2 linked regions of the Cricetulus griseus genome follow. The protein of the gene in region 1 interacts with the protein of each later gene in a pairwise test. Links are inferred from orthologs where the notes say so. Each region holds a gene or a part of one and is shown on either strand. Other genes may lie near its edges. The genes, in order: Epn2 and Wbp2.

What was found.
Region 2: the proteins of Epn2 (region 1) and Wbp2 interact in binary tests that used the Homo sapiens proteins (3 or more experiments, as listed by UniProt). The link is inferred for Cricetulus griseus from reciprocal best matches to the Homo sapiens genes EPN2 and WBP2.

What each region holds. Positions count from the first base shown.
Region 1 is NC_048600.1:75,553,621-75,557,433, forward strand, and holds part of Epn2 (epsin-2), read right to left. Parts: intron 1,786-3,813; 5' UTR 1,621-1,785; coding exon 1,026-1,620; intron 1-1,025. UniProt on the Homo sapiens protein: Plays a role in the formation of clathrin-coated invaginations and endocytosis.
Region 2 is NC_048600.1:128,670,001-128,674,393, forward strand, and holds the start of Wbp2 (WW domain-binding protein 2), read right to left. Parts: upstream 3,072-4,393; 5' UTR 2,973-3,071; coding exon 2,914-2,972; intron 1-2,913. UniProt on the Homo sapiens protein: Acts as a transcriptional coactivator of estrogen and progesterone receptors (ESR1 and PGR) upon hormone activation. In presence of estrogen, binds to ESR1-responsive promoters. Synergizes with YAP1 to enhance PGR activity.

The sequences.
Region 1 (3,813 bases):
ACTATTAAGAACAAAAAGTGTTCTGCCATAGTAGTCATGCAAATAGCACACACCTGTCACCCAGCACTCTGAAGGCTGCAGAAGGAAGACAGCAAATTTGCAGCCAGCCTGGCTACATAGGGAAACTCACCAACAGAAAACAAAATGCTGACATTCTGTACCAATTTCAAAAGGTATTGCTTTGGAAGCCTGTTTCTGTTGTCAAAAGATAAAGCTTATGCACCCAAGGGCTACCAGAGCCACCTTTCTCTCTTGAGTTCAGGGTCCTCAGGGCTACCCACCCCAAGAACAGAGAATTAATACTGTGCCTTGGATCACTTCCTGGCAGAGGCCAGGAGGCCAGCTGGATCAGAAACCAGCTTCTACAAGGCCCCAACATCACTTCCTCTCTCTGAAACCTCTTCAGAATACAGAACAAAGACCCAACGTGATCCATCACATACAATCAGAACATAGATCAGCCCTGTGTAGTGCAGACTCAGCCATGCAAATCCCGAAGACTTTTTCCATATGTGAGGAGGTCTTGCTGATGCTAACCTATGGAGTGTAAAACAGAAACATCCAACTCTGAATAATGAACAATAATGGTAAGCACTGAACCATTCCAGAGACCTGCAACTCAGTCAGCAGAAAGACACTTAGTGTAAGATTCTGAAGCAGATGATCAAGCCTAAGCCTGTTCCTAGCTACCAGGTATTTGGCTCCCTGCAGGTTTGAGCACCAGGACAATTGCTTTGCTGACAGACATTCTTCAAAGAGAAAAAAAAATCTGGTGAGACTGGCCTTAGAGTCCACTTTCTCCCAAGAACCTAAGAAGCATGGGCACAACCTTGCCTAGACCCACAGAGCAGCCTGAGTACCAAAAGCCCCCCTGTGACTTACTCAATTCAGATCAAAGCTATCACGTGGATTATCAGAAGCTGAGATCTGAGGACAGAATGGAACCTTGTGACAGCAACTATTTTCTCAGCCCCAGCACTTGCCACTTAGTGCTTGAGAAAAGGTGGGGTACTTTGATTACTCACAGCCATGGTAGGAGGCCGGTGAGCCCCCGGCCTTGCCATACTCCTGCTCCGAGTAGCTGGTAGAAAGGTTGGGCTGGCTGGAGCCACGGCCAAAGGTGATCTGGTTGCTGCCCACGCCAGTAGCCACCTGAGCCATGCGCTCTTTGGTTTTGAGAGCCTGGACCCTCTCAGCCTTCAGCCGCTCATCATCCTTGAGAAGGGCAACTAGCTGCTTTGATTTCTCTCGAACATTGATACCCTGGTCTTTGCCATCGCGGTCAATGTACTGGAAGTCCTTCAGAGTCTGAATGGCAAAGATGTTCTCACGGCACTGCTGGGCCACACGCTCAGAACCCGTTTTGATAAGGTAGTCCAGCAGTGTCAATGCCTTGTACACGTGCCGCCAGTTCTTGCCATGGTCATTAAGCCGCTTCCAAACCATGCTCATGATCTCTGAGAAGGCCACTACATTGTAGGTCAGGTCAGCAATCTCGGTCATCAGAGAACTGGACGGGCCCCACGGGTCATTGGAGGTGGCTTCCCGAACTTTGATTTCGGCCTCTGAGTAATTGTTCACAATGTTTTTCATCTGCCGTCTGATAGATGAAGTCGTCATTTTTATTGTTTGTTAGACATGTAAAGCCCTTCAAGAGAAACTTTCCTGTCCCCTAAGCCTGCACTCTAGAAAGTTTCAGTGCAGGTAATGCAGATGGGACAAAAAGATGCTCAACAGTCATTTCCTCCTGCAAAGCCTCAAGTCCCAGAAGCTGGAAGCCATGTCCTGGAAAGAAAAAGAAGACGTGTTGCTTTGGTAAGAGCACTGGTGAGGAGGGAAAGCCCAATATAAGCTGTGTGAGAGAACACACCCCAGTTCCATGGATGCAATACAGCCATCCTGCATTTAAAACTAAGGTCAGATCGCAAATGTCACTTGCTGAAGAATAAACCATAAAACAAGTTTAAACCTTAAGCAAACATCATGACCAATGTTTCATCTCCTAAGGCTTTCCCAGGGGTGGGTAGCTTGCAGACTACATGGTCACTAAAACCAAAAGCCAAATGTAGGAAGAGCAGGGCTGAAGGAGACATCCTGATAAATGTATTTTAACCTTTGGTGCTGGGTACTGAACTCTGGGCCACATAAACCTCACCACTGAGATGTATTCCTGTCCAGTCCTGAGAGTTTTACATGTGGGGGGCAAGAAAGTTTCATTTCAGGAATTAAATGAACATTAAAGTGCCTGTCCATGCCTTTAAAATTGGGTTTTGGCTCACAAGACCCTAACTGCCTGAAAAATTCTCCTTAAGGGCCATTTCTCTGTGACCCTCCCTGAATGTGGATCAGTGAAGTCCTGACTGCTCCTCTAGAGCAAGGCTAACAACCTATACCACCACCTCCACTTCCCATTGTTCTACCTACCCCAGCTTTCATGTGACTAGGATTAAAGCCTAACCCCTCTTTCTCTCACAGAGAAGCAGAGAGAGACCCAGAGCTATAGTCACAGGCTCCAAGTGCACCCATCTCCTTCCTCCAGGTGAGAAAGAGCTGGAGCAAGATCCACATCTCCAACATGGGGCTCTGGTCCTACAGTATGGTAACCAACATCTATCCCATCCACAGTGAATACCCAGCAACTAGCACTGTACCCAACATGGAATAAACACCTGAATGAATGAATGATACTACACTTAGAAACAGTATTCCCATCCTCAAAGCCACAATTCAGCAGGAGATAATTTCTCCATTTGTGAAATAAAGAAACGGAAACCCAGAAGATTCTCAGGACAACTGAAAACTGAAGAGAAAGCTAGGTCTCTAGCAAGCCCTGCTATACTCACTCAGTCCCTGTGGCCTTTGTCTATCCTGTGACAGTACAAATGGTTCTTCCATTACAGATGTAAAACATGAGCTATGGAGTCTTATAGTTGGCTGGCTACTGTTAACAGTCTGAGACCCACCTCCCTATATATCCTCATGCAGCCCAGAACCTGGCATCTGCAGTGGACCTTCCTCTCCCTGGATTGCTGAGGTTTCTGTCAGAGAAGCACCAGACAGCCCTACCTTCCTTCTCCAAGAAATTCAAACAGGCAATGGGTGCATCAAAAATAAGCAAACAAAACGGAAACATACAATGGTCAATCATCATATGCACCCACACGGGGCAAGGAGGAGACGGGACATTAAGCTTCAGGTGCCTTCTCTGCTCACTCATATATGCTGAGGAGTCTGCATGTGCTCTTTCTAACGGGTGGCATGTTCTACATCTCTACCCATCTGGTCAGCTTTCCTGAATCCCCCAAACCTGTCAGAAGACAGAGATAAAATCTCTGTGACTATAAGATCAGAGTGACTATACATCTAATTTAATTAAGTTTTTCATTCACAATGTGATATTCATTGCAGGAGAGGGGATAGGCCTCACACAAAATGAAAAAAAGAGACCTTTGATTTTCAGTGGGCATTTATTTCCCAGCTTAACCAGATGTGTCAAAGTCAGTAATCCTGTTCAGATCCACCAAATGCCCAGGGCTCTGGGATATGTCACTTGATTTGGGACTGGGCAAATATGCCTGGCCTTCACTTAAAGGACCCAGGTTTAATTCCCAGGACCCATATGACAACCCAGGAAACCTAAAGGTCTCTTCTAGTCTCTTCAGGTGTGTGCCTGAGAGAGAGAGAGAGAGAGAGAGAGAGAGAGAGAGAGAGAGAGAGAGAGAGAGAGAGAGAGAGAGAGAGAGAGTGTGTGTGTGTGTGTGTGTGTGTGTGTGTGTGTGTGTGTGTGTACAAATGTAGGCAAAACAGAGGCAA
Region 2 (4,393 bases), about 53 Mb from region 1:
TTTTTTTTTCCTAAAAAATAAAACAAAACAAAACAAAACTAATATAGCCGGACAGTGGTGGTGCTCGACTTTAATCCCAGCACCCCAGAGGCAGAGGCAGGTGGATCTCTGTGAAGATAGCCTGGTCTACAGAGTGAGTTCCAGGACAGCCAGAGCTACACTGAGAAAGCCTGTCTCAAAAATACCAAAACAACAACAATAAACAAACAACAAAAACAAACAAAACCCTAATATATAAACATGAGTCTAATGGGACTTGGGGATGCAGCACAGTAGTATTTGCCTAGCATGGTCACAGTTCTGAGTTCTTCCCCAGCAACACACACACAGCTAATAAATAAGTAAATAATAAAAGTATAGAGTCAAAGACATGATTCTATAGTTTCATTGGATCCTCTGAAGCTGGAGACACAGGTGGTTGTGAGCCGCCTGACATTGATACGGGGAACTAAATGGGCCCTCTGGGAGATCATATTTTTGTTGTTGTTGTTGTTGTTTCTATGTGTGTGTGTTTTTTTTTTTTTAATCCAAGCTTCTTTAGCTGGAGCTGTAGAAAATGTCTGTGGATAAAGCCCTTGAGATGTGTGTATATGCATGTGTGTGTCTGTATGTGTGCGTGCGTGCGTGCGTGCGTGTGTGTGTGTGTGTGTGTGTGTGTGTGTACTTGTGTGCTCGGTTTTCTGGGAAGAGTTCACAGCCTTTATCTCTAACAGTGGTTTGTGAATTAAAGGTTAATGTTCACTAGTTTTGGGGGGGGTTGTTTTTGTTTTTTTTTTTTTTTTTTTGGTTTTTCGAGACAGGGTTTCTCTGTGTAGCTTTGGAGCCTATCCTGGCACTCGCTCTGGAGACCAGGCTGGCCTCAAACTCACAGAGATCCGCCTGCCTCTGCCTCCTGAGTGCTGGGATTAAAGGTGTGGTCACCAATGCCCAGCTTGTTCACTAGTTTAAATATCATAAGTTTGAGCACTGCACTTACATTTCAATTATTACTGACACATGTTTCAGAAGTGAGGCTGAAGTTCTTCCCAGGACCCTATTTGGTAGCAATGAGCCAGGTGCTGAGCCCAGGAGGGCAGAAATCTTCTACATAAAAGCCAGAGTAAGTGAAGGAAAACCACTCTCAAACGATGAAGCTAAACAGCTCTGGTTGTGGTGGTACATCTCTGATTTCCCTGCTCTCAAAAGCCAGAGGTCGGATTGCCTCAGGTTCAAGGCCAATCTGGATGGAAACCATAGACTGAAAACCAGAGAGAGGGGTAGTGGTGGGGACACCACTGAATGGCATCAAAGTACTTGACCAGCCAAGGTACTGGACTAAGTACACCAGAGAATAAGGTTTCTCAGATTACATGACATAAGGGTCCAAATTCTTATGTCTCCTCCTCATCCCAAATACCCTTTCTTGGTGCAAAGGTAATAGAGGACTTAGAACACAATAAAAGAGGCCAGCTCAGGTTAAAGAAGTGATCACCAGCTGGACGGTGGTGGTGCACGCCTTTAATCCCAGCACTGGGGAGGCAGAGGCAGGCAGGAGGAACTATGTGAGTTCCAGACCAGCCTGGTCTACAAAGTGAGTTCCAGGACAGGCTCCAAAGCTACACAGAGAAACTGTCTCGAAAAACTAAGAATTAAAAAATAATAATAATAAAGAAGTGATCAGCTGGGCGTTGGTGGCGCACACCTTTAATCCCAGCACTGGGGAGGCAGAGGCAGGCGGATCTCTGTGAGTTCGAGACCAGCCTGGTTCTACAAGAGCTAGTTTCAGGACAGGCTCCAAAGCCACAGAGAAACCCTGTCTCGAAAAACCAAAAAAAAAAAAAAAAAAAAAAAAAAAAAAACTTGCTGGGCTGGCCAGAACCTGCCAAGAACTATGGAGACAAAATCAGCATTTCCAGTCTGTGTCACCCCACACCTTCTCTTCTGACTCATCAAACATTCTCAAGTGACAGGTCCCAAGATGGCTTTGACTTCGACCACGCCTCCCTTGGCCTTCAAGAAGACATTCAAGCTTGCATAGCTCAGGTCAAGAGAGTCTGATTTCCAATGTCCGAGCAAGAAAGGAAAAGAGAAGCGACAGAGAGGGCCCAAAAGTTGGAGAGGAAGAGTGGATGGTGCAGTGAGGGGTAGAGAAAAAAGAATCTTGCAGTTGAGAGACTTCTACTCTGGCGAGCGACTTAAGCCCTCAGGAATCCAAGAGAACCAGGGGAGCGAGCGAGCGAGCGAGCGAGCGAGCGACACAAGGGAGACGCCTTTACAAGGCCCGCGGGCGCCAGGCACTGGGTGAGCAGATGACAGCCCCTCAGTTCCACCTCTAGGGCCTCAGCCTTTCTCTTGGAACCTGAGAAGTTCTGGAATATACGAGGAGACTGGACAGGAGTGGTTAAGCAACTGTTGGCTTTGCGGTCAAGACTCTTGCCTCAGGTCCCATCGGTCACTCACAGCCCTAAGCCAGGTTATTCGCCCTGTGTGAGCCTCGCTTGCCCTACCGGTAAACCGTGTGGGATAGTTTCTGCCGCACAAGATTAGCTGTTATCTGAGGCAGAACCGACCCACGCCGCGCCTCCTGCCGCGTAGCAACCACGTAGTAAACGCCCAACACAGAGCAATTATTCTCGGACTCCATTTGGGAGGGGGCTCGCTGGCCTCACTCAGGACCCACGTCCCCGCCGCCCCGGCTCCCCCCCCCCCCCGGCTCCCCCCGGCTCCCCGGCTCCCCGGCTCCCCCGGCTCCCCCGGCTCCCCCGGCTCCCCCCCCTCACCCACGCCCCACCCACGCCCTCCAGCCCCGCCCCCGGCCGTTACCGCCCCCTCCCCCAGCGCTCCACCACCGCCCCTCCTCACCGCACCCCACCGCCCACCACACGGCGCCCGCCTCCGCCCCCAGCCTCCAGGATCCTTCCGCCGCGTCCTCACCTCTCAGTGTTGTTGACGATCACTCCGCCACCCTCCGAGTGATTCTTGTTGAGCGCCATAGTCTCTCCTCCCACTGGGGTCCCGAGACTCGCAGCGCTCTGCGCCTGCGCCGGTCTTCGGCCCGCCTCCAGTGGCGTCGTTCGTATTACAGCCAGCCAATCATCGCTCCTGCGCGCAGGCTGACCAACCACCTGACCTCCGATGTCACGTGGCGAGAGTTTACTCCCGCTCCCCCTCCCCCAAGTCGCACCTGCATCACAAACAAGCCGCGGACTACAATTCCCAGCAGGCGATGGTTCCCTCAACCGCGACCTCTCCTTGCGTTGAGTGGTGGTTGAATTCTGGGACTTGTAGTCTTTTTTTTAACTCTAGGACAGGCTTGCTAGGTTATTTACAAAGTCTTAAACATCTGTACGCGTCTCCCAAACCGGCCTCCTCGTGTTAAGCAAACTCAATTGGAGAGATGTAACTTAAACGTGGTGACTTGGTGTGTGCCACCTTTAAACCACTTAATGAGCCGCCTTCGTCCTCGCCCATACTCTTGGCTGTGCGAGACGTAGCCCTGTCTAAGGTGGACTGGAACAGTCCCAGCAAAATACGCTTTAATCACCTCCAACCGTGACCCCGCGAGTCGGACAGTGTGAACTTCTGGGGAGAGTGATCGGCTCCCCACCGTCCTCCCCACCGTCCTCCCCGCCCCCTGCACCGGCCACCCCTGCACCGGTCCCCTGAACCGCCCCCCTGCACCGCCCCCTGCGCGGCTCCCTGCGCCGCCCCCTGCACCCTCTGGCCTCACGATGGCGCTGCGCCCTCTCAGTCTAGCTCGCTAGTCTAAACAGCAGGACTTTGAAGACCCAGGCGTGGGTGTCTGTCCACTACGTTGCAGAGAATCTGAACTCCATCTGAGGTGGCTCTTTCGCGGGCCGGGAAGGACTGCGGGACGTCCTCACTATCCCTAGATCTGGGGGATCAGGGTTTGGTCCCAAGCAGACAGCATAGCGGTTCACATCCCAGCATTTGGGAGGCTGAGGCAGGAAGCTGCGGCAAATTGGAGGTCAGCTTGGGTTGCATAAGGATTTCCAGTCCAGCCTCAGCTATTGTAAGACGCTGTCTTTAAAAAAAAAAAGTGGTGGTGGTGTAGCGTGTGTGCGTGTGCGTGTGTGTGCGTGTGCGTGTGTGTGAATAGATGGCTCAGCAGCTGAGAAGGAGGGGTCCCGAGATTGCTTTCCAGCACTGAGGTCAGGCGCTGACGTCTCTGGCCTTCTCATGCATCATATATATATATATATCATAGATGTGCACACATACACATCATTAAAAACTAATGAAAACACATTTTAAAAATGTTTATTTCCACTTTATGTATGTAACGGGTTGTCTGCATGCATGCATGTGTACTACAGTGTGTACAGGAGCCGCAGGAGGACACAGGAGGGTGTCACATCTCTTGGAGCTGCAGATCCAGATGGTTATAAACTGT